Tamandua tetradactyla: one gene and its partners. The main gene of each other region encodes a partner of the protein of the gene in region 2 in a complex. Links are inferred from orthologs where the notes say so. Each region holds a gene or a part of one and is shown on either strand. Other genes may lie near its edges.

Region 1 (7,786 bases), on a different chromosome or scaffold from region 2:
TTAATGTTTTTTCTAGGCCAAATCTTAAACCATGTCAAATGTCATTTATACTCACTATAAACAAATGCCATCAATAAAGTAATCATCACAAGTTATACAACTTTTAAAGAATGCAAAAAGATCCAGAACCACCCCAAAGTTGTCTTTTTAAAGCTATCTTAATGAATGAAATGAAAAACCAACCACATCTTTTTACCTACATGACAAAGATACTAACAGTTTAACTATTTCTTATATAACTTAAGAGCTAACACACTTACATATTTATAACCGTGTAATAGCAAAAACTTTTCTGCACTCTGACCCCTAAATAGCTGGGTTCCAGTCCAAGCTACTCTAACTTGCTGACTGTATGACAATGAACAATGTCTTAACCTGCAAACCTCAGTTTTCTCTATTTGTAAAACGGTTTTTTTCATGATGGAAAAATGTGGTAATAAATGAAATATACACAAGAATTTACATTAAGTAGTTTGTGGACAAGAGTATTTACAGCTCAGGTTCAATCTATTCATAATTTAGTAGTTGTTTAAAATCCACTGATTAGAAAGAGGGTTTGATTATTAAAAAGTCTCAACTACCTAAATTCATAAAGGCAAAGAAGGGAGACTGGGAGGAATCTGCAAAATCATTTATACCTTAAAACTAGAGTCAAGTTTCCAAGAAAAAATAAAAGTTAAACTTACAGATGCACAACAGTTCAGAAATTTTTAAAAACAAACAAAACTATAGATTATAAATAGTAGGAATCTGCCAGGTAAATACTATTATCCACAAACTGATGGGTATAAGTTCTTGTGTAAATATTTTTAGAAGAATAAGTATACTTTTCAGTTGAAATTTTTTTTACTTTTAGTGTATTATGCTTTCAAAACTTATTAAGTAACCAGCAGCATAGCTGTGTGCTCTGTAGGATGCATGCCAACATGCATTTACCCATGAGTCCAGATGCCAATTTGCAGGTGTGAGAGAAAAAAGTTTACTTGAGTCCACTACCTCTTACAAATTGAGTATTTATGCAAGCAGATAAATTGTTTTTCCTTCCTCGTCCTTAACCCCGGTTTTTGTCAGCAGGTTGAGTGAACTTTTCTGAGTTCCAAAATCTCTTAAGTCTGCCGCAAGAGAATATATAACAGGCCTGCAAACAGGAGAGGGAAGGAAAATGGGGGCGTAACTCTTCTTTCCACTCAAGTTACAGCCCGAGTGGACTAACTACAGTGCAGTATTTGGAAAACCAATTAACTTTTGGACAAAGTTTCTATGCTGAAGTTTAGCCTGAAGCAAGTTCTTAAAAAAAATAAAATCTCCACAAATAAATCTGAGACGTATCGGAACGTTAACACTGTCAAAATAAAATAATTTCACTTCAATATTAAATCAAGTTGACAAAATAATCGAACGTTGTCTAGGTGGGAAAGCAGCCATGTTCACATCCTCAAGAACTAAAAAGCAATGGCAATAAAAATAAAAACTTAAAAAAAAAAAAAAACAGAAAGCAATGGCGATCCTAGAATTAGTCATAGCTTCCCAAACATTAACTTTTAATCACAGTTGAACTAGGCAGGACTCTGCCTATGAGTCAACCTGCAGAGTATTATTTAAGGCTGTGTTAAAACCTCGAGACGGGTAATGCGCAACTCAGTGCCTGGGTAACGTGCAGATGTGGCTAATTTAAAAGCATTTCAGCAGAATGTAAATAGTTTACAACTAGGAAACCAACACGTGAACCTACTAGGTTTAATAAGAGAGGGCCTGCCCGAGTTCCAGGTCTCAAGGGAAGCCAGGGGTGAAAGATCTAACTCCATAAACAACTTCCAGGAAAGCCTGGGCAGGGGAAGCCCGGATCCTGTATTCTAAAACCTCCGGGGCAGTGAGGGAAATAAATGCCTTCGGCCGGGGGAGGGGGAAAAAGAGCAAGAAACTAAATGGACTGGTTCAACCCCCACCCTCTAATCAACACTGGAAAACAAGAGAACAATTATTTGACTCCCCAGGAGACTGAAGTGAACCAGGAGGCCCAAAGGAAAGGGGGCCCAGGGCTCAACTTCACAAACTCGGCCGCCGCTGGCAACTCACCCACACACAAATGCCAGAGGCCCCCCTCCCCCTCCCCAGGCGCGGCGGGAGCGAAGGTGCGGAGCGCGCGGAGGCGCGCGCATTGTGCAAGCCCACCGCGGCCCGGGCGGCGATTCTCCCCACCCCCTTCCTTCCTCCCCACCTCCCCCTCCACTCCCGCCAACCTCCTGGGAACCCCGGGAAGAAAGAAAGAAAGGAAGAAGGGGAAAAGCACACTCCCCGGGGCTGCAGCCGCAGAGAGAAACTCCAAGGGGAAAAACAAATCTCGGCCCCCGACTCCCGGACTCGGTAACGGCGGCCGCGCGGGCGCCTGGAGTTGGCACACCTCACCGGGGAGAGTCCCCCTAGCCCCCGACAGACACCCCGGAACACCCTCGCCCCGGCCCGGGCTACGATCCCGATCCCCCGACCCCGGCCCAGGCCTGGGGCCCGCCCGACGGGGATGTGGGGAGAGGCGGCTAGGTTACCTGTCGGGAGTGGGATTTGGGCTCCGGCGGCTTGAAAAAGGAGTCGGGCAGTTTTCGGAGCCTCATGGGTACGGTTTGGGGCACGTTGGCTGTCTTGGGGTTCATGACGGCGTTGAAGAGCGCCTCCAGATCGGTCTCTGAGTCCCCCCGGACGTGCACGATCTGGTGCCCAGCGGGAGGGGCCTGCGGCGCCGCCTGGGACCCCGGGGGCGCCGGCTGCCCGGGCCCCGGCTGCGGTCCCTGCCCCTGGGGGGTCTGCGCGGGCGGCTGCCCTTGGCCCTGGGGGGCCGGCTGAGACGGCGGCTGCTGCCCGGGATCCATAGCTTCTGCCTCCCCCGACGCACACCCCCTAACCCGGCGGACGAGGGCTCCGCCCGGACGCCCCGGCTCGACGGGCCGAGACGCGAGAAGCGGCAAGAGCTGCGGGCCGGGCGGCGCTGGGCGTCGGGAGCGGCGCTCTCCTCGTTCTCAGGGCCGGGGGGCTGCGCGGCGGCCCCGCATCCCCCGCCCGGCGCCTCCGCCCCCGCCCTGCGCCCCGGCTGCACTGGTCTGGCGGCTGCGCTTCGGGAGGGGCTGAGAAGGACCCGGACCTGCGGCGCCTGAGAACTTTTTTTTCCTTCACCTCCCTTGACGGAGGCCGAACAGCTAGCTGCTTATCCCCTCCCCCTTTCTCTTTTATTTCCTTTTCTTGTTCCTTCCTTCCTCCCTTTCTTTTCCCCGGCGGCGACTGCGCCCGACTGAGACAGAAACTCGGCTCAGACGCCAAAACTAAAGTTGAGAGAACTGCCCGCCCGAGCCACTCGCCGGCTCCGCCTCCTCCCGGCTCTTCCTTCCTCTGCGCGCCCGCCCGCGCCGAATCCGCGACCAGCCGCGGAGGGAAACTTTCCCCTGCAAGTTACTACATTCCTGCAAGTTACTACATTCCTGCAAACTCCCGGCCGCACGTGACTAATTTGCCCTCAGTCTGGTCCTCCGCTGTGTATCCAGGGGCAGAAGCCGGGACGCAGAGGGCTGCCGGCCGGATGGAAACACTGGGCCCTCCTGGATCCGAACTGTGGTTGGTCTCTCTGGAGAACGCGGCCCGCCCCGCAGTCCTCGGGAAAAAGCTGCTTCCTCTTGCCTGGAGATACGAAATGGAAGGCCGAAAAAAGTTGGTATAGAACGTGGAAATCCATTTAAACCCGCCCCGCGTTAGCTCGATTTAACCCCACCAGTACTGCCAATTCTGGGTTAAAGCCGCAAGAATAGGTTGGAGTTAAAACAGATACCAGTAGCAAGCGCCGCTTTTAATAAAAATCTGTTTTTTAACACTAAGTTGGATTTGGTATTTTTTCACTCAGCTTTTAGCATGTGAGTATCCACTAGAAAGGGATATATGATTGCAGTGTTTAGATACTTCGGGGCATTGTGACTGCCTGCCTCTCATCCTGTCCGGTGAATTAAAGTACACGAGTTTCATTGTGTTTTTAAGTGACATCAACTATTGTAGCACTCAAACTTGCAACATAGTCACTGAAAACCTCAAAGCGAAAAATCAGTGCTACCTTTGGTTACAAACTTTCCTCGGTGTACCTGCCTTTCTTTCATCCTAGAGGGGGTGGGAGTCTACCCCTTTTTATCACTGTTGCTGGTACAATGCAGGATTCGGTGGATGTTGACTGAATGAGAAATGAATGGGCCAGGAGTACACCACTGGTCCTCAATATGGCAGTGCCATATATGCCTGGAAGTCACTTGAAAGCACCCAGGAGCAATCAAAATTTGTTTTCAATTTGTACTACCACTCTTCATTTTTTAAGAAACAGCTTGAGATATAATTCACATACCATACAATTCAGTCCATATAAATCAATGTTTTTTTTTTAGTTTACTCACAGGGTTGTGCAACATCACTCTTTAAATCTACTACCCTTTCTAAAGAAATCTGGCTGCTGCTTTTCATGATTTTATCTGCAATGCTAGTGAAACAAAGAAAGATGTATAAACAAGGAAAGAGCCCTTGACAAAAAAAAGATAATCTCTTCCTCCAGGATGTGCCCACAGAAATTCTGAGGGATCTGGTGGTGGAGCCGTGCCAGAGGATGATATTTCAGACTGCCAAGCTTCTAATGCCCTATGTTAATCAAGTGCTCTGGACCCCAATTTCCCATCTGAAGAAGAATCCCAGCATAAATGATGCCCACGACCCCTTCTTGGATTTTACCCCCTCTCCAAATGTCAGGTGCATTTAATCACAAGTTTGTGGGTTATGGAGTTATAGATATTTGGCTTCAGGTCCCAATTACACCATTACTAGCTGAGACATTAGACAAGTTACTATTTCCTCATCTTTAAAACTGGGGAGGAGAAGGATAATAATACCTACCTCATAGGTTGTTGGAGTATTAAATGAGTCAATGGGGATAAAGTGCTTAGCCCAGTGTTTAGTGTATGATGAATAATGTCAGCTATTAACACTGTCACATGTTCATACATTACTTCTCTCTCTCTCTCTCTCTCTCTCTCTCTCTTTCTCTCTCTCTCTCTCTCTCTCTCTCTCTCTCTCTCACACACACACACACACACACATACACACACACACACACACACACACACACACACTCCATGATATGGCCTCTTCTTTAGAGAGGAGTAAGGGTCCCTCTCTAAGCACAGCGTTATTAGCTGTCCTTGCTGGGATCTTGGCAGACCATTCCTCTCACATTCAACCATCCATCCATAGATCATTTGGGTAGAAACTATGCATTTAAAACTTTGAATGAAAATATTTTAAGAAGTAAAGTGATTGAAAATCTGAAATTGTAATGGAAGCTGTCCCTTAACTACAGCATCTACTACTGTGAACACTACAATTAAAGGGCTTAGGATAGGTACAGCAGAGGTTGCTTTGTTCAATATTGTTTCACCTGCCATTGAAATTGTGACAAAATTACTTGGATAAGTGGATTGGAAAGTTGTTTGGAGTGATTTTATGTTCTCTAAGTACCTTTGTACCATCAACCAGGATTTTTTAACTTGGTATTCCTCACCTATAAAATTTCAATCAGGTTAGAAAGGGATAAAAATAACATGTATTCAACACATTGTCCCCTCTCTCCATCCCCTTTTGGAATAATTACCAGTTTACGAACCTTAAAATGGAGAGACACCTTCTTCATATAAAGACTTACCAGGATAATTTCCAACGTCCATGTAGGTTATCCTCTCAAAACACTACTCTTAGAATTACTTGACCTCTCAACTCCACTGAATCCTCACCTCCACCCCACTTCAGCCACCTTCTCCTGTGTCTGCACCCTAACATCATCCCAAAATAACTCAGTCTTGAAATCAAACTCTTTTCTTAATTGTGAAAAATAACCTATATACAAAAAAAGCAATAAATTTCAAAGCACACCCCAACAATTAAAGAACAAATTCAGAGTTTGGCATGGATTATAGTTCCACAGTTTCAGGTTTTTCCTTATAGTTGCTCCAGATACTGGAGACTAAAAGAAGTATCAATATAATTCAACAGTAATACTCATTAGACAATTCCTATATTCTCTGTTATAACTCCACCTTCTCCTTTGATCTTTCTCCCAATCTTTAAGGGTATTTGGACTGTGCTCATTCTAACTCTTTCATGTTGGAAAGGGCTATTGATAATATGGGATGGGGGGTGGAATTACTTGATGTTCTGGAGAGGCTGGCCCCTCTGAGTTTCAGGACCCCATCTAGAAGTTGTAGGTTTCTGAAAGTAATTATAGTGCACAGAACCTTTGTAGAATCTCAGATAGAGCCCTAGGTGTTCTTTAGGATTGGCAGGAATAGTTTTGGTTGGGGGTTGGCAAACCATGGTAAACAGCAATATCTAGCTGAAGCTTGTGTAAAAATAGCCTCCTCTCGACTCTATTTGAACTCTCTAGTTACTGATACCTTATTTGTCACAATTCTTTCCCCCCTTTTGGTCAGGAAGGCATTGTCAATCCCACTGTGCCAGGGCCAGGCTCATCCCTGGGAGTGAAATCCCATGTTACCAGGGAGACACCCCTGGATGTCATGTCCCATGTAGGGAGGATATATCATTCTCTTAATATCCAAATGATCTTGTTTCATTACTCACACTGCATTTACAATGACTTCTCTCCTTTCTCCCAATCTATCACTCTCTCCTGTTTTCACTTCCTTTTCTATTCGTTTAGAGATAATAATCCATTGCTTCAACCTCTCATAAATATCTATGCTCTCAATTCCATTGCCTCATGTTTTCAATGAGCAGGATCTACTAAGCTGGATTAATCCAATTATCAGTCTTTTCCACTTCAACGTCCAAGGACTAGGGGACCCAAGCCGCTCTTTCATTAATAGCATCAATTGAAGCTTTTGACATTTTGTCCAGAAGAGATTATGCTATCATCTCAGAGATATACCTACACCATTACAAGAAGGCATTTCTTGTAGAACTTTAAACTTTGTCCCATAACCAAAGGACACTATCTGTAATAGATTATGGATTAATATTTTAAGTAAATTCTGTAATTATCTGGTGAGTAGCACAATTATATTACCTTGTAATTATTTGCAAAGTGTAGGCATTTAAAACATTCTCTGCTTCTGCAGTCCTCTCTTGGCATTTCTGACATGCTTGAATATACTGGGAACTTGAAAAGAGGAAGTGGCCAGCCCTCTTTCAGACCCTGGGAGCCTGGCTAACACCCAGGTTCCTGGGAACCGCTGAAGGGAACCTCACAGCTGAGTAGACTGGTCCCCTCCACAGGTATAGTCTTTAACAATGTTTCTATGGGTCCACAGTCAACTTGTCCTCCCTCATATCATATGGCTACTCAAAACTTCATCGCTCTCCTCATTATATGCATCCATCACCCCTTACCCTTCAGAAAATGATGTCATCTCCAACTGCTCAGAGAAAAGGAGGCCATCACAACAAAGACTCTGTATGTCATCCCCTGACCTCACAGAAACAGGTATACATGCTGACAGGCCCATCCCTCCACAGGTATGTTTTTAGGAAAAGCAGTCCACGTCTGTTCTTCATTTTCTCACCTTTTGTTTATTTACCCTGTGACTAACATCCGAAACAGAACTCTTTATCCTTACCCTCCCCTCTTCCAACCACATACATGCCCTTCCAGCCACACCCTCCTTCTGATTCATCATCTCAGTTAATGGCATCATGATTCACCCACTTTTTCATGCCCCCAAATTGGGTGCCCTCTTCAACACCCTGCTCTTGGTATCAC
Region 2 (5,827 bases):
TCCCAACAGCGCGTTTCATTCTGTTCTCCCCTCTCCTCAGATCTGAACTTTTAATGGCGGCGTCATACCCTTGCCTCATACTCCCTTTCCCCGCCCAGATCTGAACACTTAATGGGACTTTTCTTGGCTTTCAAATCTGGAGCGCTCGTGCTAGGGGCCTTGTCCTGAGACCTCAGCCTGAGCCCTCGCTAGTTTCCTGCCTCCTCAGACCCAAGCTCCCTGGCTTCCTGCACTGAGGCATCCCTCACCTCCCTTCAATCTGGCGGAGGAGTCTCACCCTCGCCTTGGCCCAGTTTGTTTGGGGCCAGCCTGACGAGAGCTGGCCCATCTGCCTCTCATCTCGAGCCACCCCCCCACACACACACCAAAATCCCGTCTGTGGGGCCTGAGTTGGCCCTTCGAGGAGGTCGGGACCCTTAAACTAGAGCTCCAAAGTCGGTCTCTGTAAATTATACACCAATCCCAGGCCCAGCCCACCGACAATAACTGGAAAAGACAGGAGTAGTGTCACAGGGGATCTTTATTGAGAGGAAACATGGTCACACCCAGCAAACATGCTTTCCCTCTCATTCTCCATCTTGCTCTCACACTCACACACACGGTCACACACACACTCATTCCCAACCTCCCCACCACAGTCCCCTCTCAGACACAAGGGTGGGACACTCCTCAATTCCGAAGATCCAGAGGCAGCAGGGGCAGGAGGGAGGCAGGAGAGGAAGAAGAAGAAGAGGCCCAGGTCCCAGACGGGATACGGAGGAAGGGGTGCAGAGAGCTGGGGCAGGTGGGGAGATCAGTGGTCACAAGCACCTGACAGCTGAGATGCTGTGGCTCCAGGTGGCCTCAGCTCTGCTGGTTCCTCTCCATGGAGCCTTCCTGAGCTGAGGGCAGGGCATTAAGGGAGAAGGGTCGGGCCTCCCACCCCATACGAGTCCTCTCTGCCGGGGGTGGGGGACTGGAGAGGGTGGGGTAGGGCAGGGTGGATGGCAGGCCCGGCTCAGCTCTGGGGCTCTTCAGGAGCCTCGACCCCTTCCTCCCCAGTGTTGTCGGCCGTCCACAGCGTCAGGTTGTCTCGCAGCAGCTGCATGATGAGGGTGCTGTCTTTGTAGGAGTCCTCGCTGAGGGTGTGCAGGTCAGCCATGGCCTCATCGAAGGTGGTCTTGGCCAGCGAGATGGCCTCCTCGGGGCTGTTGGCAATCTCATAGTGAAAGACGGAAAAGTTCAGGGCCAGGCCCAGGCGGATGGGGTGGGTGGGCGGCATCTCCTTCTTGCTGATGTCCATGGCCTCCTGGTAGGCCGACCGGGCTGAGTCGATGATGCGCTTCTTGTCATCACCTGTGGCCACCTCAGCTAGATAGCGGTAGTAGTCGCCCTTCATCTTCAGGTAGAAGACCCGGCTCTCGGCATCACCCGCCTCCTTGATGAGATGGGTGTCCAGCAGGCCGAGCACAGTGTTGCAGACGCCTTGGAGCTCGGTCTCCACCTTCTCCCGGTACTCTCGCACCTCGGGCCCTTTCTCTTCCGAGCCCTCCTCATTGCTTTTCTGCTCGATACTGGACAGCACCCTCCAGGCGGCCCTCTGGCCACCGACCACGTTCTTGTAGGCCACAGAGAGCAGGTTGCGCTCTTCACAGGATAGCTCCTCACCCTTCTCCACAGCGCCCTTCATGAAGGCTGCCATGTCCTCATAGCGTTCAGATTGCTCTGCCAACTTGGCCTTCTGGATCAGACTGGCTCTCTCCATGGCTCTGGGGACAGTCGTACAGGCGCTGGGCTTACTAGCTGCCTCAGGACCAATGCTGGACTCAGCTCTGTGCCTCTCCTGCTTTCCGCCTGCCTTTTGGCTGGGTGGCCTGGCCCAGAGGAGGGTGGGGAGTGGTAGGGGGAGGGACTAAGGCCTGGGACCTACTTCCCTCTCCTCTTCTCCCCACACCCTTTCCGGCTCTTCCTTAAAGGTAAAAGGGCCAGGACGTGGAGGTGAGTCATCAGAACAGTCAGCAGGAGAAATGCAGGAGTGGGCCCCACCTGCACCAACACCTTTTGGGGCTCCTGGCTGCCTCCTCTTGTTCAGGACTGCCATTACACGGGTGTTCCTTTTAGCTGTCTGGGTTTCTCATATTAGATCCTCCTTCACAGCATCTTTCCAGGGGAAACAGATGGCATCAGCCACCTGGCTACTTAGCCCAGGCAGTGCCCATATAGACAGGTACAGGAGGATGGGGTTCCTCATCCTGCCTCCTTGGTTCAGATGAGGTAACTCATGTTTAGGTGGGATTATACAGTTTCCCAAGCACTTCATATCCATGATCTAATTTTTTTCCTACTATGGCTTTGTAAGGTGGGCAGCACTGTTCCCACTTCAAAGATGGAAAAACTGAGGCTCAGAGAGGGATGAAATTTGCTCAAGGTCACATAGCTAGTAAATCCCTATGACTCTCCCTTCTGTACCCTACTTCCTTTGGTTTCTCTCCCATCAAGGCCTTTTATGATCTGTGAGCTCCAGGCTGTATTTAGACCCTGAAGAAGGTCCCAAGCTCTCGTCCTCATTTCCCCTCAGGGTCCTGGTCCCTTTGAGCTCCCAGACTACAGAGGTGGCAGCTTTCAGGGTGCCACTTAATGAGGTGTTTAACAAGCGGCCACTGACGCTCCAATCCGGCCTTTGTAATTAGTCACGCAATAGGTTTGTCAGGCACCTTCCCTATCACAGCACAATTTTCCCTTTCAAGTCAGTGGCCTGTTGCCACTTGTTTGAGGACTTACTCTCTGGCTCTCTGTGCTAGGCCACCTGCCCCCTCCAAGCCACCTGCCATCATTATGTATCAGCAGGGCTCATGGGGGGTGAGGGCCCAGTTCCTTGGCTGTCCCACTTTCCTGCCTGACTCAGCCTGCTCTTCTGTCAGAGGGTGGGAAGCAGACCACGTGGGTACTCAGCCCGGTCTGATTCCCCAGGGGGGACGCCAGCAATGTGGGGAGAGAGACAGTACTGAGGAAATGGAGGTGGTGGTGACACATACCATTTTGTTTTATGGGGCATCAATCCAGCATATACTCCTTCCTCAGCCTAGCCTCTCAGAAGTTTCCCTATCCCTTCCCTTTGCCCATTACACCACCTCTGACCCCTGGCAGAGGTCCCAAAGATGGAATCTTCTCCTTGCCAACCTTCTGTCCCTGCTCACTGAGCCCTGCCCTCCAGTCATTCCAGAGTTTCACCTAAGGGTATTGGCACTGAGCCTATGAGAGTGGATTCCTCTTATCTGCCCCACCCCTAGCCAAAGCTCATCTGGGACTCAGGGGAGGGACTGCCCTTGCTGGAACTCAACCAGTCTAATCCTTGAGCTAGGACCGCTTTGCAGGGCTGTGCCTTCCCTGGTTCCTCTTGGTATCTGAACACCCACCCTGCCCTCCTGGAAGGAGCCCAAAGATGAGGTATGCCTCTTTGCTTCATGGAAGAGTAGGGACATGTCTAGGCTTATGCCTAGACCTAGGTTTTCCAAGGAAGCAGAAAGGATTTTAGGCTAGACATCCCAAAGACTCTGCTCAATTTGGAGCACTGACACAGAAAACGATGGAAAGGAAATACACTAAAATGTCAACTTATAGAGGGTAACTTTAGATAGTGAGGCTCTGACTTTTCTGCTTTGGGATTTTCCTATCCTTTCCAAATTTTCAGTAGTGAATATGTATCATTTTCTATGAAAGACAGAACACAGCCTAGTATCTTTGGATGGACTGCTTGGGTTCATTCACTACAAACTGTTGTGGCCTTGGTCAAGTTACTTAATCTCTGTGAGCCACAGTTTCCCTAAATGTAAAATGAGACTTGTGAGGATTAAATGAGTCCAGGGAAAGCACTTGAGAGTGGTGGTGACTACAGTAACTATTATTATTATGTGAAAAAACCAACCAACTTTCTTATATAAACATATTCACACAAAGCATTAACATGGAGCTGGGTTTATGAAATGAGGAAGAGCTGTCAACCAGACCTCAGTCGAAGACCAGATGTTGCCCAGCTGGGCACCCACAGGAGAGAGAAGGAGGCAATGTTGGCCCACATTCTCCCCTCTCCAGCTGAATGAATGGACAGATGTGCTGAAACCTTGCCTCTTCTCTCTCCATCTAGGACATTCCTCTGGTCTAAGGAAGGCTGTGGGCCCTCAAGTACTTTCCTTTGCACTAGTCATTTAGCCAGGCTTTCCCAAGTCCTGAGGGGAAAGCTCGAGGTCCCAGGGTACCAGGAAACTTCTTTGGACTCCAGGGAGTCCTCCCTTCCCACCATTTAAGCCAGGGGACCTGGTGGTGATTCATGCCAAAGCTCTATGCCCTCAGCACAGCCCCAGAGCAAGGGAAAGGAGTCCCCCTTCATACCTGCCCCTCCCCTGCCGAAGCTCAGGGGTGAATCTGGGAGACAGGTTGCTAGAAACCTCTTGCTCGCTCTGGCCTGTCAGTCCTGACTCAGTTCCTGCACCTCCCTTTGCCTCCAGGCTTCTGTTTCCCAAGTCCAGAGCCCAGACAGGCAGGAGGCAGCAGGTCCTGGCATAGCACAGAGCTCCACTGTCAGTCACCTGAGTCAGCAGGACAGAAGTTGGGGCTGCTGCTCAATGGTACTTTCCCCATCCCTTCTACTAACCTCCCCACCCCTCCACACAGCATCTGTCCTATCAGCAGCCTCAAGGTCTCTGGGCCTATAGACAATCAATTCCTAGTGGAAGGGTTGTGACACAGTAACCAATTGCTATCTACTTTCACAAGAACAGAGAACAGGGCTTTGACTGCAGTAAGAAAGACTCTAGTTAGATTCAGAAAGAACTTCCTAGGAAATTTTTCAGTCTTGGAATGTTCGAACTAAAAGGTGACACGAGGAGGCTATGGCACCTTCTTCCCATTTAGTTGTGAAGAAGAGGCTAGTTTTCCAGCTCTTTTAGAGCTCACTACGGTAGTTGCCTTTGGGAGCAGATACATTTTAAGAGACTCAGCTGTTTTGTTTTTTTCTCCTCATGGTACTGCTGTTTAGAGTATCCCTCATTTCCTAAACCAATCTAGTCTAGGAGATAGTGTGGAATTTGTAGAAAGAAAATGGTACGAGGTCAGGGTATAGGACTACATTCCAGCTCTGTATATAAGGCCTTGGGTAAGTCTCTGCCTGCCTCTGGGCCTTGGTTTCCCCATCAATACAATTTGAAGAGGCTGGCCCAGATTTTTTCTAAGCCCCCTTTCTGCTGTCTCTGACATTCTCCTCTGTTTGGGTCACTCCCTCTGCAGTGCCCACTCTCCTGGAACAGCCCTCATCACTCCTTAGGTAGGGCAGACAGGCCAGAGATCAGGGCAGGGATCAGGTGCAAATCCTGGATTTGCTGCTTTACCAGCAAGGTGACCAAGGGCAGGTCCTGTAACTGCCCTGAGCTGCAGTAAAACAGGACTGACAGCACCTTCGTCATTGGTTAAGGTAAGAAAAGGGGTCTGGTGTTTGGTCAGTCCTTGGTAAATGGTAGCTGTGATTATTTTCTAGCTCTTGCACACTGTATGTGTTTGACTGGATGTTGGGCAGCAGCTGGGGACAGGATAAATTCCATGAGATTGTTACCCTGGGTGGGGCTCAATTCAAAAGTGTGACAGCCACGAACTGGGGCTAAACTCTCTGTCTCAGCCTGGGTTTGGGGATCCCTGGAACTGAGACCGGAGTTGTGGAGGTGCAGAGTGATAAGGATGCTGGCTACTCTTGTCTCTTTTGGCTTTATTGTGTGTGTGTGTGTATGTGTGTGTGTCTTTTAAAATCTCTAGACAAGCTGGAACAAAGCTAGAGGTGAGAGATAGCCATATGTTGTCT
Region 3 (7,690 bases), on a different chromosome or scaffold from region 2:
CCACCCAACGTCGGCGCAAACACTGCATGCGCGTGCATTCCGGGGGCGAAGCTTTTCGTTAAAGCGTACAGAGAGCGCAGGGAGCCAGGAATGGAGTTTACACATCGCCGCAGGAACCATTCCTGGACCCAGGGATTCTACCTTTAACAACCTCCAGGCCTTCCCTTCCTGCGCGCCCCACCAAACCAACACACTTCAAAATGGAGCGAAACTGCAGACGCGTGTACGGTGCTTTGTTCCCAGTATTAGGCTAAATGCGCTCGCCCCCGCGGGCACTCTTTCCCCCAACCACGGAAGGTGACACCCTGGCCGCGGGCTCCTCTTTTCCAGGGCCGCTCTGGACCTTCGCTCAGTCTGGAGCGAGAATTCCACGCCCAGACCTGTTGGGGCGAGAGAGAAGATGCTCCGATGGATCCTTGAGCCGCTCCCGCAGCGCCCCCGCGGCTGGCCCAGCTGAGCCGGGAGGCCTCGCAGCGCCCCCCGCCCGCCCCCCGAACGCCTTAGCCGGTGGGGGGCGCGGCCTGACCCGGGGAGGGCTCTCGACCCCTAGCCTAGCCAGTCCCGGAAGTTCAGATCACTTTGGGCCGCCTGCGGGGAAAATTTGGCCCCTAAATACCCATCCCTCTCAGAACTGCACTCCGCGCCACTTTTTAGCGATAGAATGAACCAGAGAGAACCGCGCCGACCGGACTCATCGCAGGTGTAGACTCTACGAGGGCAAGGTTCCGACTTGCCCGCCGGGGTTCCCTCCACCCTGGCTTCAAGGGTGCCGGTGAACCCAGTCTTTTAAGTGGAAATCCCGCACGTTCCTACCAATATTCATCACTGTGGCTGTAATAATAAAGCAACAGCGACGCCGTGTCTGGGTGGATGAGGCCGCCGTTGACCAATTAGGCAGAGCCACGGGCTCTGGGTGGAGGAATCCGGCTGCATCCCGATCCCCACGCACCATCTAGGAGGCCGAGGGGGCACGGTCCCTCCTACAGTGCTCAAGCTCCACTGGGAAGGGGCAGGGCAGCTCCCCAGGGTCCCTTGTCCGGACGCGTGTGGTTTCCATGACAACTCCCACTTCATGCTCCATCCTATTCCTAATTTCCTTTCCTACTCAGAAAGATGGGTGTGGCTGCAGCACCCAGGGGAACCTAATGTCCCCACCGCCACCGCCACCGCCACCACGTTCCCTCGCCGGGAGAAGCAACAGGGCTTCCAGAGGAGATAGGCCCCGCCTGCGAACTCCCCCGTATCTCCCGAGGGGTCGCCGGCGCCCCCTCGCTGGGCAGGCTGGTGGGGCGTGGCTCCCAGAACGTGCGGGGACCGGGAAGTGGCGTAGTCTCTCTGCGGTCACCCTCGGAGCGTATGAGACCCCGAATCCCACCCCTTGAGCCCCAAGGACTGTCAGGCCCCGGGAGGAGGACGCACGGGGACACGCCCGTTCCATACGTGCCCCCAGGGCTGTGACTCGAGTTCATCGATCCCAGCAAGCCCCGAGAGCCAACAAAAGGCTCGGAAATGGAGGGGTAAAAAAGGGGGGAGGGGCAGTGGCAAAGCACCCTTATTTCATAAAAGGAAAAAAACAAAACAAAACCAACAACCCAGGACTGGGGGTGCAGATCACGTAACCCCTACAAACAAAGCAACGAACCCCCGAGAAAGATCCCGGGTGAAAAGCCCCAGTATTCGCGCCTGCAGGAGCAAAACGCCAAGATTTCAGCGCTGTCTCCCTCCCCCAATTATCAGTCCCCGCCCTGCTCCTCCAAAAGCCGGGCCACCCGGCTCGGCGTGCACGGTAAAGACCTGACACGCCGCAAAAAGATGGCACCTCGCGATCAGAGGGGAAAAAAAGGGGGTGGGGTGGGAGAAGGTACAGCCCATTCTCCCCCTCCTCGCCCACCCGGGTCCACACCCACTGCCGCAGTGAGGGGCTAGCCCCGCGCGCCGGCTCCGCGCTTCCGGCAGGGAGCGCACACCCCCCGCGCCCGGCGTAGAGCGCATGGCTCAGGGACAGGGGCCCGCCCGAAATGCACCTGCAGCCGGGCGCAGGTCTGTGCGAGGCTGCGACCTGTGCGCGCCCGCGAGCAAGGATCGGCGGGCCGCTCAGTCCACCTCGCAAGGCCGTGTGACCCCTGCCTTTCCGAGCCTCCACATTTGGATCTGCGCGCTACCTTCTCTCGGGCACGGCGCTGCTCGCGTCTCGGTGCCAGGAGCGCGCAGGGGAAGGGCAGCTAAAGTGACAGCGCCTGGACCCCTCCCCATCTCTCCTATGCTACTCCCAGCCCCCAAATGTCCCCTGTGGATTTCTGAAGGAGAAAAAAGGGGGAGGGGCGGGCCACCGCCTTAAATCAGGGGCAGCGAAGGCCCCATCAGAATCGCTGCCGGAGAGGTGTAGGGAGGGGCACGCAGGGAATCATCTTTTCTAGAACCCAACCCATACCTCCTTAGAGCTGACGGCAACAGGGACAGAGAAATCGGATTACAGGTTCGCTTTCGGGGGTCATCGTTGGATACCCACCCACCTTCTACACACACAGATACACGCCCATTGCGGCAAAAGGCGGAGATGGAGAATGCTGAGCAACCCCCTCCCCCAGGTCACCGCCATCCGCGCCCCACCCTGCGGGCGCAACCTGGGACTGAGGTCTGCGCGAAGCCGATTATGCGGACCCCTACCCCGAGCTCACACACACGTCCGTGCATCCCTTGCACGCGTCCCTTTCCAAGCCGACCTAGCCACAAGCCTCCGAGCGCAAAAGGAGTAGGGAGGGGCTCCTGTCGTGGCCACTCCATCGGTGCTAAGTGCTTGAAGCCCATCTTCGGGGCTAGGGGCGAAGGGCAGCTGCGTACGGTGCAGAGGGATAGAGGGAGAGGCAGGTTTCGGAGCCTCGGCGCTTACCTGCTGGAGGACGAGGGCAGGAGAGGACAGCGGAGAAGGAGGAGAAGGTGGCTGAGGTGGCGGCGGTAGAAGGTGGGCGGCGGCGGCGCGGCTGGTGCTGGAGCTGGTGGGTGGCGGTGACTGCGAGCGCGCGCGCGCGCACCGGCGAGAAGGCGCGCTCCCGAGGCCGGCGGGCAGCGCAGGCGCGAGCAGCCCGAGCGCGAGCCTCCCTAAGGGAGGGGTGGGCAGGCAGGCCTCCGCGGGCAGCTTCTTCTCGGCCACCAGAGGGCGTGCGCAAGCACCCCGCCTCTCTGTCCTTCTCCGCCTCCTCGCTCACTCCTCTAGGCGCTTCCCTTCTCCAGACCCCCTCCTCCGACGCCAAGGGCCGCAGCGCTGACCGCCGCGCGCACGCGCGCTCTGGGGCGCACGCGTACTCCCAGCCTCCCGGCTCCCGCCGCTGGAGCCTTTGTCTAGTCTAAGAGGTCTCTTCCCTCGGGGCCGAGGCTTGGCGGCCCAACGTGGTCGGGGCAAGGCAGGCTGCCCTCTCCTCCCCACCACGTCTGCCGCCCGCTCCCTTCCCTTCGTCCTGGGGCGGTGTTCTAGCTTGGAAAGACCCTGAACGAGTTTCCACAAGTCCGGCTTCTCAGTCCGTCCACTCCGGAGCCTTGCCCTGCTCGTCCGGGGCCCGAGCCCCCGACCCTCCCGGGGGTCTCCCGAAATGGAAGCCTTCCCCTTGTCGGAGGTCAGTTTCTCTAGGACCCGATTCCTTTCTCTATTTTCTTCACCTGTTTTCTTATTGACCAAGGTGAATTCTTTCCTTGACAGATCCTCTTAGCACAGACTAACTCAGTTGTAATGCGTAGTACAGTTTTTAAGTAATGAGCATTTGAATCAATTATGTATCTTATCGTGACCCTCAGATGAAATCTTAAAATAGACGAAGTTCAAATGGCGCTCATCGTATTGCAGAACGTTTCATTTCGTTTGTTGAAACACCATTCTACTGTCACGTGCAGCTTGAGCTGTGATTGCCTAAGCGCCTGCGGAAGATTCTCACCGGGAAAATACCTCAGTCAGAAATTGGCTAGCGGCTCTCCTCCTCCTGGGCCTGGATTCCTCCTTTCCTCAACATCTAATTTAAACCCTGACAGTGGGAGGTTTTCTATGTAGGGGGCTTTAGGGGCAGCTAGCTCCCTCTTGGAGAATGGGAACTTGTCTTGAAGCTTTATTTGCATAGCACTCTTATTTTTAAAACCAATGTTGTCTGTTACAGAGTAATATAAAAAGCAAGTTATTAAGAATGCTTCACTCACACTTGATACAGGTTTAATTAATATATTATTACTGGGCCTACTGGGGGGAATGATGGAGATGGGGATCTAATTTCTTAAACCACTGGTTATGAGTCGCTGGAATTGACATTTCTTTTCCCCTATTCTAGCTACACTACCCTACTTCAAGACTGTCCCTGGCTTCTGGACATGCAGTGATCTTATTGATCTCCTGGCTCTCAATTTCTCCCCCCCTCAGCCCACCTGGCCCACCCTAGTCAGACCTGATCATTTTAATCAAAGGATTTTCTTGTCCTAAAATATCTAAAGGCTTCTAACTGCCTCCTAAGTGAAGTTAAGCTCCTTAGCACAGCATTCAAGGTCCCACATGATCTGAGCTCCTGCCCTGTTCTAATTTGCTAGCTGCTAGAATGCAATATACCAGAGACAGAATGGTTTTTAAAAAGGAGAATTTACTCAGTTGCAAGTTTACAGTTCTAAGGCTGAGAAAATGTCCCAATTAAAACTAGCCTGTAGAAAAGTCCAATCTAAGGCATCCAGGGAAAGATACGTTTGGTTCAAGAAGGCCGATGAAGTTCAGTTTCTCTCTCAAGTGAGAAGGCACATGGCAAAAACAGTCAGGGTTTCTCTCTCATCTGGAAAGGCACATGGCAAACACGGCATCATCTGCTAGCTTTCTCTCCTGGCTTCTTGTTTTATGAAGCTCCCCAGGAGGCGTTTGCTTCTTCATCTCCAAAAGTCGCTGGCTGGTGGACTCTCTGCTTCTCATGGCTATGCCATTCTCTGCTCTCTCAGAACCTCTCCTTTTCTCTGAATGTTTCCTCTTTTACAGGATTCCAGTAAACTAATCAAAACCCACCTGGAATGGGTGGAGACACATCTCCACCTAATCCAGTTTAACAACCACTCTTGATTGTGTCACATCTCCAGGGAGATGATCTAATTAAAGTTTCAACCATACAGTACTGAATAGGGATTAAAAGAAACTGCTGCCTTTACAAAATGGAATTAGGATTAAAACATGGCTTTTCTAGGGTAGATACATCCTTTCAAACTGGCACATGCCCTCTCCAGTTTTATCTCTCTTCTACCCTGTGGTCAAACAGCTTATTTGACTGGAACTCTTCCTCATGTCTGTTTCCTGCTGCTTTCTTTTGTGTAAAAAGTCCTTCCTCTTTCTCCACTCGCCAGTATTTTAACAAAGGCTTCCCTAATCACGCTAACTGAAAGGGATATTTCCAACCTCTGGAAGAAGCTTAACAGAGTTACTCATTTTCTCTCTGAAAATGGGCAAAGTTTAATGTCTGTCTCGCAGGATCAAGATTTTATTATGTACCCAATAGTTTCCTTTCCCCATTTCCTGCATAAGGATTATATGTCCTCTCTTGCTACCATGTGGTTTGCGGAGTCCTGGCTCTCTGTTCTCCTCTTGATATTCGACTTGGCCTTGTGATGGTCATTGGCAACTTAACTGGTGGATGGAATGCACACACCAGAGCAGAAGCTTTTACTAGTCATTGCAAGTTTTCACCAGCTCTTTTACTCTTCCCCTCTGCCGCAAGAATGGCATGTCCCAATAGGGCTGTTCCTTCAGTCTAGGCCCAGAATAAAAAACTGTGAGGAGGTACATAGAATAGGAACCAGAAATAAACATTTGTTATATAAGCCACAGAGATTTTAGGTTTATTTGTTATTGAAGCAAAATTGACAGATTTAGGGATTAAATGAGATAATATATATGGTACATGTAAAGTCTTGCACAGTACCCAGTAAATTATGAGCATTCGTTAAATGAAAATTAGTAGTTTTTATTTCAACATCATCTTCATTATCAATGCTTTTGCTACACAGCATTTCATTTCTATATGTAAAATAACTAGCAGCCAAATAACATACCTCTCCATTCAGTTTTCATCTTCTTTCCTCTAAAATACAGTGTAATTGATAATTGGCAGGGACCTGGTGACACTGTAGTCCCCTAACACTGAATGATTACTGTGCTGGTTTGAAAGGATGCATGTACACTTGAAAAGTCAAGTTTTAATCAAAATCCCATTTCGTAAAGGCAGAACAATCCATATTCAATACTGTATGTAATTAGATCATCTCCCTGGAGATGTAACCCAATCAAGAGTGGTTGGTAAACTGGATTAGGGAAGATGTGTCTACACCCATTTGGGTGGGTCTTAATTGGTTTACTGGAGTCCTATAAAAGAGGAAACATTTTGGAGAATGAGAGATTCAGAGAGAGCAGAGAAGAATGACATAAACATGAGAAGCAGGGAGCCCACAAGCCAGCGACCTTTGGAGATGACGAAGGAAAACGCCTCCCAGGGAGCTTCATGAAACAGGAAGCAGGAGAGAAAGCTAGCAGATGACGCCTTGCTCACTATGTGCCCTAACAGCAGAGAGAGAAACTGTGACTGTATTCGCCATGTGCCTTCTCACTTGAGAGAGAAACCCTCAACTTCATTGACCTTCTTGAACCAAGATAACTTTCCCTGGATGCCTTAGATTGAACATTTCTATAGATTTGCTTTAATTGGGACTTTTTCTCGGCCTTAGAACTGTAAACTAGCAACTTATTAAATTCCCCTTTTAAAAACCATTCCGTCCCTGGTATATTGTATTCCGGCAACTAGAACAATCACATTTGCCTACATTAAGTTGAGGTAATGAATACAGCAACAATCTTAAGCAGATCTGTCATCCAACTATATTTAATGTGGAGTTGCATGTTCATTCCGGATAATTTAATCATTGTAGGTAGCTAATGGCTCAGTAAGTCAGGCCAAGAAAATGCATCCTGTCCCTCTCTTCCTCCCCTTTCCCCTTTGATGAAAGAGAAAGCTCATGGCCATGTACAGCCTGTCATGCTCTTAACATATTGACCATAGAAGGCAAAATGGCATAGGGAAAAGAGAATTTAATTGCTATCAGGAGCATTGCGTTCTAACCTTAGCCATCTTGTGTGACTTTGAGCAAATTCATTACCTTCATCAGGCTTCAATTTTTGTATGTAATAGTGTCCTAGGTGGGGTTAGAACTGAGATCCAGAAACTTGTAGAATTTGGGAACTCTGCCACCAAATCTTTTGACATACTGTATTAATCAAGGTAAGCTGAATGCTTCCAACAGATCCCAAAATGTAATGACTCAAACACAGTGTACTTTTTTTTTCCTCACTCACATAGTAGTGTGGTGTGGGAGTTCCAGCTTGGGGGAAGCCTCCTTCACATGAGGTTCAGGGACCCAGGCTCCTTCCATCTTGCGGCTCCATCACTCATGAGGCCATGCTGTTTGCTTGGGTCACCACGTACAGGGTCCAGCTGGCAGAAGTAGAGGGAGGATGTGGAAGAAGTACACTGACTCTTGTAGAGGCTGGAAGTGGCCTCTGAGCACATCCCACTGTTAGAACTTGGTCACATGGCTACCTCTAATTGTGCCCAGGAAGAGGAGGAGAAAGGATTTGGTAAAAACTTAACAGTCTCTGTCATATGCGTTTTGATTTACAATGGAGGTAAAAAGC
Region 4 (7,655 bases), on a different chromosome or scaffold from region 2:
GTACATAAAGAAAAATTTTAAAAATTACCCACCTTTGGAAAACAAACAAAAAAACTAGCCCCCTTTGGAGACTATTAAGGTTCCACTTTGTTATTCTGAAAAAAGGTAAGGGGAAAGACAACGATTTTCCTGCCTACTGTTTTCAGGGTAACCAATTAGTTGACAACCTTCATAAAAGAATTTCAGATAATAAATGCAGAGGGAGTGACAGAATTAGAAATAATGGATTGAAGCAACAATCCACTAAAACTCTTAACTGAAAGATGAGTGGTGAATGGTGAGTTGATAAAGGAAGAATCAGGTCAACACCACCTGATTGAACTTAACATTACAAAACAGAGACACACCAGACAATACGTGTCTCCTAATGCAACAGGAAGTATTCTTGCCAATAAGTCTAGAAGCCTCTAGATCAGCACCGCCTAGTAGAACTTTCTGTGATGATGGAAATGTTTTGGTGTGCTATCCAATACCATAGTCATGATCCACATGTGGCTATTGAATACTTGGCTAGCGAGACTGAGGAATTGAATTTTTTTCCCCTTAAACTTATTTTGAAATAATTTAAACTTGCAAGAGTTTTACAAAATCCATATAGAGAACTCCAACACTCCACCCCCACTGATACCCAGACCTCCAATTTTAACATTTGCCACACCTGCTGTAGCAGTCTGTCTATCCAGCTACCAAATTTTCCAAACACGTGAGAGTAATTTGCATACACCATGCTCCTTGAACACATAAGACTTCCACGCGCATTTCCTAAGAACAAGGACATTCACATGTAACCACCTTAAGTACAGTTATCAAGTTCAAGAACTTTAACACTGATATAAAATTACAGTTTATATTCCAATTCCAACTTTTTTTTTTAATAGGTCCTCGTACTGTTTTTTTGGGACTTTTCTCCTCCACTATTAAATCCAGTCCTGGCTTATGTATTGCATTTAATCGTCATCATCTCTTTAGTTGCCCTTTATTTAAAATTATGGAAACAAACGTACATAAACTTTCCTATCCCAACAACTTCCAAGTATATCATTCAGTGGAATTAATCACATAAACAACGTTGTGCTACCCTCACCATCATCTATTACCAGAATTCTCTCATCACTCCAAACAGAAACCCTGCACCCATACGCAGTAACTCCCCACTCTTCCTCTCACAGGTACTCTACTTTCTATCTCTATTCATACTCCAGCTATTTCACATAAGTAGAATCTTAAAATATCTATTCCTCCGTGTCTGACTTACTCCACTAAACATGATGTTTTTAAGGTTCATACATGTAGTGTTATTTTATCAGAACTTCATTCCTTTCTAAGGCTGAGTAATATTCCATTGTTTATGTATACCCCATTTTGTTTATCCATCCATCTGGGAATGGACACATGGGTTGCTCCTACCTCCTGGCTATTCTGAATAACTCTGCTATAACCATTGGTGAACGTTTATCTGAGTTCTTGCTTTCAATTCTTTGGGGTATATAACTAGAAGTGGGATTGCTGGGTCATATAGTAGCTCTGTTTTTTTTGAGGAACTGCAAAACTGTTTCCTACACTGGCTGCACCATCTTACATTCTAACCAACCATGTACAAGGGTTTCTATTTTTCTGTCTCCTCGACAGCACTTATTATTTTCCATTTAAAAAATAATAATAGCCATTCTACGAGGAGAATGAGGACAGTGAGGAGGTAGGATGTGAATTATGTTAAATTTAAATAGCCACATGTAATTAGTGGCTACAGCATCAGACAGTGCAGCTCAAGATCTACCTACTAACTTTCAGAAAATTCAGGGATAACGGGACATGTTAAAGGAAACATCTCAGTATAATGTATAGATCTTGCTTGGATCCTTATTCAAACAAACTGGAAAAGACAATTGTGGACATTTAAACTAGGTAATTCATAATGTTAGGAATTAGTTAAAATTTTTATTTGAATCACAATGGTATTATGTTCAGATTTTAAAGATTGTTCTTATCTCTCAAAGAAAGGTACTGAGATATTTCTAGATGAACTGATAAATGTCTTGGACTTTCTTTAAAGAGGCCGATGGAGGTGGAAGGGGAAGGAGAAGGTATATGTGAAACAAGATTCTGTATGTTGAAGTTAGATGATGGGTAAATGGATTTTTACCATAGCATTATTTCTGTTTTTATGTATTTGAATATTTCCATCATAAATGTGTTAAAAATGAAGGAATAAATAAAACCTGGAATTTTAAAAATAGGACGTATGTTCATCCTATGGAATACTATGAAACTCATAAAAAAATAATACAGTTGGACTCTATTATATAATGGAAAGATAGCTAAGCCACACGAAGTGAAGGGACAAAGTTGCAGAACAATATACAAATACATGAAGTGTGAATCTATTCATGTCAACAATAAAAAGATGTATTTATATGTACATATGTTCATAAGTAATACCTGCCTTTCTACCGTAAGTTCTTTTTTAGCATATATTCTACACAAGTATTTTTAGATATCCATAATGATATATACATAAAGATTTTTACTAAGACATTATTTTTTAGAGCAAAATTATGGAGACAAACTCAATGCCCCTCAGTGGAGGAATGGACAGTTAAATTATAACACAGCCATATTATGAACTAATGTGGATAAATGTCCAAAATATATTTTTGACTATAGAAAGTTGAATAAGATGTGAATTACCCAGAATTTCAGAAAGAAACAAACAAAATGTAACTATATAGTCTGCCCCCTCCTTCTTTCTCTCCCTCTCTAAAACATATAAAGTTAGCTGGAAGGATACTCACACAATTAACAGTGGTTATTCTAAGATGGAAAGAGAGCCACTTGTAATTTTTCACTTTGTACAGGCCTATACCACTCTATTTTAAAAGACAATGAGCATTATTACATTTGTAAATCTGAAAAATGCAGTAAGTGGGTTTTCTAACTGCTTAACTCCATGAGATCATATCCAGACTAGATGCCTAAAACATTAGAAACAACAAATGTATTTATTTTCATGAGCCACAGCTCCTACCTGGTTCAGGCTCTGTACAAGTTTGCATTAAAATGATAATGACCCTGAAATCAGAAAGAAATTGCAAAGTAATTTCAACCTTTATTCGAGTGGATCAAAAAACAGTAACACCTCCTCCTTCACTCTCTTATAGCTCATCTTCACTTTTTCATTCTAAATGAACTCTCCTCAATCTGATCCTCCTGTTTCTCTACCTTTCCTAGTCCTTTACATACATATTCTTTCAAGTTTCAGTATTTTCTCTAGCAATTAGGCCATATTCTGCATCTCAAAAGATCCAAGAACAAAGACTCTTGTTAGGATTGGGGGTAAAGTGGGGAACAACTTGGCCCCTTCCACATATTGGTCTTATCTGATTTGTCTTTTTGCATAAGGATTCTCTAAATTTAGGATCTGGATTCTGTTCATTAATAATTGGTTTATTTATATTATAGCTGACCTTCCTAACTAGATTATATTTGTAGAAAAGGGAGTGGGGGCATCAATATCACTATTTTCAGTTCCCACAGTATTTCCTAAATTTATTGTTTGATCTGGTGAGGTAAAAATTAAACTAGGGGACCCTAACTTGTCAAGGTGTTGTGTAAGATGCTTATTTTCAAGCTCATTCTCAAAGATTCTAATTAAAGTTTACGCAGTCGTATAAGTCATACGCCTTCGCTCTAGAGGCATGCTGAAGATTAAGAACTGCATTATCTCAGGGTGGATCCTCAAAAGCTTTTTAAGAATGATGTAGCATTCATTGGGTTGCCCTGGAGCTAGAGAATCAATTAGTTCCCTGTCTCACTTTCTCCGTTTGGCAAGTTATTTCATACCTCTCGGCCCGTATTCTGGTGTGCATAATGGGGACAGTCACATATACTTCACAAGGCCTTGTATGGACATACTGTGCATACACAGTCCTTTAAAAAGCTTCTTTGAAAAAAATCAGGCACGTATGGTCCCTTGCCCTGCGCGGTGGAGAGGGATGACAGTCCCATTTGGCCCCAGAAGCGAAAGGACAACTATAAAGACGTAAGTGAGTTAAGTTCGGCTAGTAGCTAATTCTTTTCTTCCCAGCGCAATGCAACAGAAAAGTTGTAGTTCACTCTGTCTCTGGCAGCTTTAGCTTTTCTAACTTTGGGGAAACAATGAACTCCGAACTCAGGCCTTCAGGCAAGTAAAAAATCCTGGAGCGTGCCTGTTTGGAGACCTCCGGGGCACGAGGGGACGAAGAAAGGAAAACCGAGCGGCTCTCTGAACACTTACAAACAGGATCAACCTCCTACCTAAAAGAGCTCTGGGGGCTGCCGTCGCCATTTTGCAGGGTGGGCTGCGTAGGATCTGGGCGTGCGACCCGTGCGACTAGCGGAGCGGACGTGGACGGGTTGGAGGTGGAGGCGCCCGGCAAGGGAAACGCGTGCGCACAGAAGAGGGCGACGGAAGGGTGGGGCCAGGGTAAGAGTGCGCGTGCTCGGTGGAAGCCCGCGAAGTACCTGGAGGAGGTAGGGGTGAGGTAAAAAGAAGATGGGATAAAGAGCGCTTGCGCGGGAGGTCGACTGCAAAAGGAGGGGGCTCCCAAGCACGCGCGCGGAGGCGGGACTTGGAGGATCTCGCGAGATATACAGGGATCTATATAAATGCGCGGGGGAGCGCGCGTCCTTTCCCTGGTGTGAGTCCGTCCTGCGCGACTGTTCTTTGCAACAGTGGTTGTCTATCTCCGTCCGTCTTCTCACCTGTTTAAGTGCTTGCCACCACCCCATGGAAGATTCGATGGACATGGACATGAGCCCCCTGAGGCCCCAGAACTATCTTTTCGGTAACTGCTGGAGGTTTGGAGCGAGGTCGAGCAGGGCCTGGTGGCTTTGAGGTGGGGGTGGGGAGAATGGGTAATGGAGATCTTACTGAGGCTTGGGCTGGTGGAGGAAGCTAAGCGTGCTGGAGGCCCGAGGGAGGGAGGGGCGCAGTGGGAGCCCAGGAACCTGAGGGATGGGGAGCGAGGAAGGCCGATGCCGGAGCTTGGGAAAGCCTGCGGCAGGAAGTGGGGGAATGGGAGCGGCCTGAAGCCTGGGGCCTGAGGCCTAGTGCGTGAGGGCGAGGTAGAACCGGGTGAAGGTTTGGCTTTGCCTTGGTATGCGGTAGAGCTCCGGCTTTTTCTTTGTCGAGACACGTGGGAGTTGGTATGTCTTTGATTCTAGGCCAGTATGTTTGCTGCTGGATCCCCAGGTATTGGTCCAGAAGGTCGTGTGGGCTCTTGGGGAGGCCTGAGCCTATTTTTCTGCAGAAGAGAATAGCTATAGGCTGGAGTTAGAGGCTTCGCCAGGTTTCCGGATCTCAGCGTCCAGGGCTGTATTACTGACTCTCGGTCTTGGTCTCTTGGCCGGTTGTAAGGGGGAGGGGAGGCACAGCGGGATGAGAGGAGGCCGCAACCGCTGGCAGCACGTGGTTGCCACGTGGTTGGGGGAAGGAGGAGGCGCGGGCTATACATCCGGGGCCTCCTAGTGTATGTCAACCCGGAGCCAGGGATCTTGTTGTGGCTTAATTGGAGTTGTTGGGCGGGAAACGTTAGGTGAAGTGATTGGTAGCGCTAGGGTTCTGGAGATCTTTGTGCAGTTCTTTGCACATACAGTAGTGGTAGTAATCTTCTATAGGGCTTTTTTCTGTGTCACTGCGTTAATGGTCTTAGCCCCATTTTGCAGATGACGATACTGATGTTCAGAAGTTAAGTGGCTTAAGAATTTACTTGTAGGAAATGGATGCTAGAGCCTATCCGAGACTTTGTTGCTCTGTCGGTGCTGTGTAAATAGGGTAACGAGGCTTTTTTTGTTTTCTTTTGTCTTTGGTGGGTTGGGGATGGCGGAGGCAGCCCTCTGGCAAGGGATAACCCTACTCAGCCCGCTTTTGCCTCCCACCATATGTAAGTACTGAAGGAGAGGCCTGCTTTGGTTTTCAGTCTCAGGAGGCTTATTAACTGAAAGCTTTTCCTTGTGGGCAGTCAGGCCATATCCAGGGTTTTTAACCTTGGAGTAAGTGCAAATATCGCCCCAAATTTGATTTCTTTATTTGCTGTTCTAAGACTTATTTATTGGGCAATAATATTCAAGCATGCACATCCGGTTAACTGTTACAGTGCTTATTAAATAGAATTATTTGAATTAACTCTGTTATGACAGTATTAAAACAATTTTCCCATTCCTATATGAAATGTATCTAGCATTTTAGACATTCAGCACGTTAAGGCATTACTTCTAAGTTGCTAACCAGTTTATATAAAAATATTTGTTCCTTTTATTGGAAACACCACTGGAGTATATCTTGTGCTTTAGAAGTGATTACTGAATTACTAATGTACAACACCTTCTGTTAACTTAAAGGTAATCGGAAGGCCCTTGTAACAAGGTTTGTTTGTTGGTGTTTGAGTAGGCTTCTCCCCCATTTCTAATTTGCTGCTTTTGGGGGGCAGTTTAGACAGATAATATAACTTTAAAATAGTGGGAGATTATCAACTTTGTACATTAAGTTTGGCCTCATAATGGTTAAGTAAATCTTTGAGCTGAGTTCTAGCAGCAGAATGGTTATAGTGCCTGTCTCATGTAGTGGAGAATGAGTTGGGGAAATGGAAAAGTAGAATTTATAAAGCCCTGTATGGATTTTATTTGACGTTTATAGAATTCTGTATTCAAAAAATCTGAGAAGAGATCATTTTGTCTTGCTCTCTGGAAGCTAGAATAGTAAAGTGAAAAACAAGTTTGCAAGTTATCAAAATGGTAAAGGTAATTTCAGTTTCAGTTTTCGCTCATGTTGGTTACTTTTTTCTTCATTACAGGTTGTGAATTAAAGGCTGACAAAGATTATCACTTTAAGGTGGATAATGATGAAAATGAGCACCAGTTATCTTTAAGAACGGTACTTAAAATTTCAAAATAAACTACTTAACCTTTCTTGATTTCACCCTTTTGGATCCTGTTTATCTGGCTTATGACTTTCACTGTTTTCCTGACTGCTGATAACAGCATCTTTATGATTAGTTGTTATAAGTACTGGATAATATATACACCTGTGATACAGACAGTACTGGGCATCTTTACCACTCTTCATATAGTCACATCACTTTTTAGCTTTCCTTATTTATATACTTTGCTTCATCAGTTGTGTTATAAAGCCCTCTTGTCAGTTATAATCATTTATTCCTCACTGAGACCAACCTAGCATTCAATTTGTAGTAGGTGCTCTACTGTATTTGTTAAGCTATCCATGCCATGTTTATGCATTTCTTCAAATTCGCTGAATATGAGAACTTGTGCACACGAAAACTGTAACACTTAAATTGTGCATAAATTGAAGATTAGTTTTCCATCAATGGTGATAATGAAAGGTTTATAGTTTTTTAAAAACTTTACACATTTGGGGGCAGATTGTAAAATAGCGGAAGCTTGAGGATGAGGGACTATTTTTTGTTCACAGGTCAGTTTAGGGGCTGGTGCAAAGGATGAATTGCACATTGTTGAAGCAGAGGCAATGAATTATGAAGGCAGTCCAATTAAAGTAACACTGGCAACTTTGAAAATGTCCGTACAGCCAACGGTAAGAGCACTTAAATCATACTGTGTTGAAGTAGTATAATGAGGTTTAAATCAAGAAGATGGGGAAA

The links.
Region 1: the proteins of SFN (region 2) and YAP1 are in contact, whole or in part, in a crystal structure (PDB 6G6X), measured with the Homo sapiens proteins. The link is inferred for Tamandua tetradactyla from reciprocal best matches to the Homo sapiens genes SFN and YAP1. Residues at the interface, in NP_006133.1 of Homo sapiens: Lys11, Glu14, Cys38, Glu39, Asn42, Leu43, Val46, Lys49, Arg56, Lys122, Arg129, Tyr130, Gly171, Leu174, Asn175, Val178, Glu182, Leu218, Leu222, Asp225, Asn226, Leu229, Trp230; in NP_001123617.1 of Homo sapiens: Ala125, His126, Ser127, Ser128, Ala130, Ser131, Leu132, Gln133.
Region 3: the proteins of SFN (region 2) and MAPT are in contact, whole or in part, in a crystal structure (PDB 4FL5), measured with the Homo sapiens proteins. The link is inferred for Tamandua tetradactyla from reciprocal best matches to the Homo sapiens genes SFN and MAPT. Residues at the interface, in NP_006133.1 of Homo sapiens: Asn42, Ser45, Val46, Lys49, Arg56, Arg60, Phe119, Lys122, Arg129, Tyr130, Glu133, Gly171, Leu174, Asn175, Val178, Tyr181, Glu182, Ile183, Ile219, Leu222, Asn226, Leu229, Trp230; in NP_058519.3 of Homo sapiens: Arg528, Thr529, Pro530, Ser531, Leu532, Pro533, Thr534, Pro535.
Region 4: the proteins of SFN (region 2) and NPM1 are in contact, whole or in part, in a crystal structure (PDB 7OBG), measured with the Homo sapiens proteins. The link is inferred for Tamandua tetradactyla from reciprocal best matches to the Homo sapiens genes SFN and NPM1. Residues at the interface, in NP_006133.1 of Homo sapiens: Lys49, Arg56, Arg60, Lys122, Asp126, Arg129, Tyr130, Glu133, Gly171, Leu174, Asn175, Val178, Glu182, Ile219, Leu222, Asp225, Asn226, Leu229, Trp230; in NP_001341935.1 of Homo sapiens: Trp288, Gln289, Trp290, Arg291, Lys292, Ser293, Leu294.

What each region holds. Positions count from the first base shown.
Region 1 is NC_135334.1:40,798,966-40,806,751, forward strand, and holds the start of YAP1 (transcriptional coactivator YAP1), read right to left. Parts: upstream 3,015-7,786; 5' UTR 2,865-3,014; coding exon 2,544-2,864; intron 1-2,543. UniProt on the Homo sapiens protein: Transcriptional regulator with dual roles as a coactivator and corepressor. Critical downstream regulatory target in the Hippo signaling pathway, crucial for organ size control and tumor suppression by restricting proliferation and promoting apoptosis.
Region 2 is NC_135328.1:199,376,816-199,382,642, forward strand, and holds SFN (14-3-3 protein sigma), read right to left. Parts: upstream 1,912-5,827; 5' UTR 1,745-1,911; coding exon 998-1,744; 3' UTR 503-997; downstream 1-502. UniProt on the Homo sapiens protein: Adapter protein implicated in the regulation of a large spectrum of both general and specialized signaling pathways. Binds to a large number of partners, usually by recognition of a phosphoserine or phosphothreonine motif.
Region 3 is NC_135332.1:20,798,952-20,806,641, forward strand, and holds the start of MAPT (microtubule-associated protein tau), read right to left. Parts: upstream 3,012-7,690; 5' UTR 2,891-3,011; intron 1-2,890. UniProt on the Homo sapiens protein: Promotes microtubule assembly and stability, and might be involved in the establishment and maintenance of neuronal polarity.
Region 4 is NC_135346.1:52,611,285-52,618,939, forward strand, and holds the start of NPM1 (nucleophosmin), read left to right. Parts: upstream 1-4,643; 5' UTR 4,644-4,765; coding exon 4,766-4,823; intron 4,824-6,830; coding exon 6,831-6,910; intron 6,911-7,468; coding exon 7,469-7,588; intron 7,589-7,655. UniProt on the Homo sapiens protein: Involved in diverse cellular processes such as ribosome biogenesis, centrosome duplication, protein chaperoning, histone assembly, cell proliferation, and regulation of tumor suppressors p53/TP53 and ARF.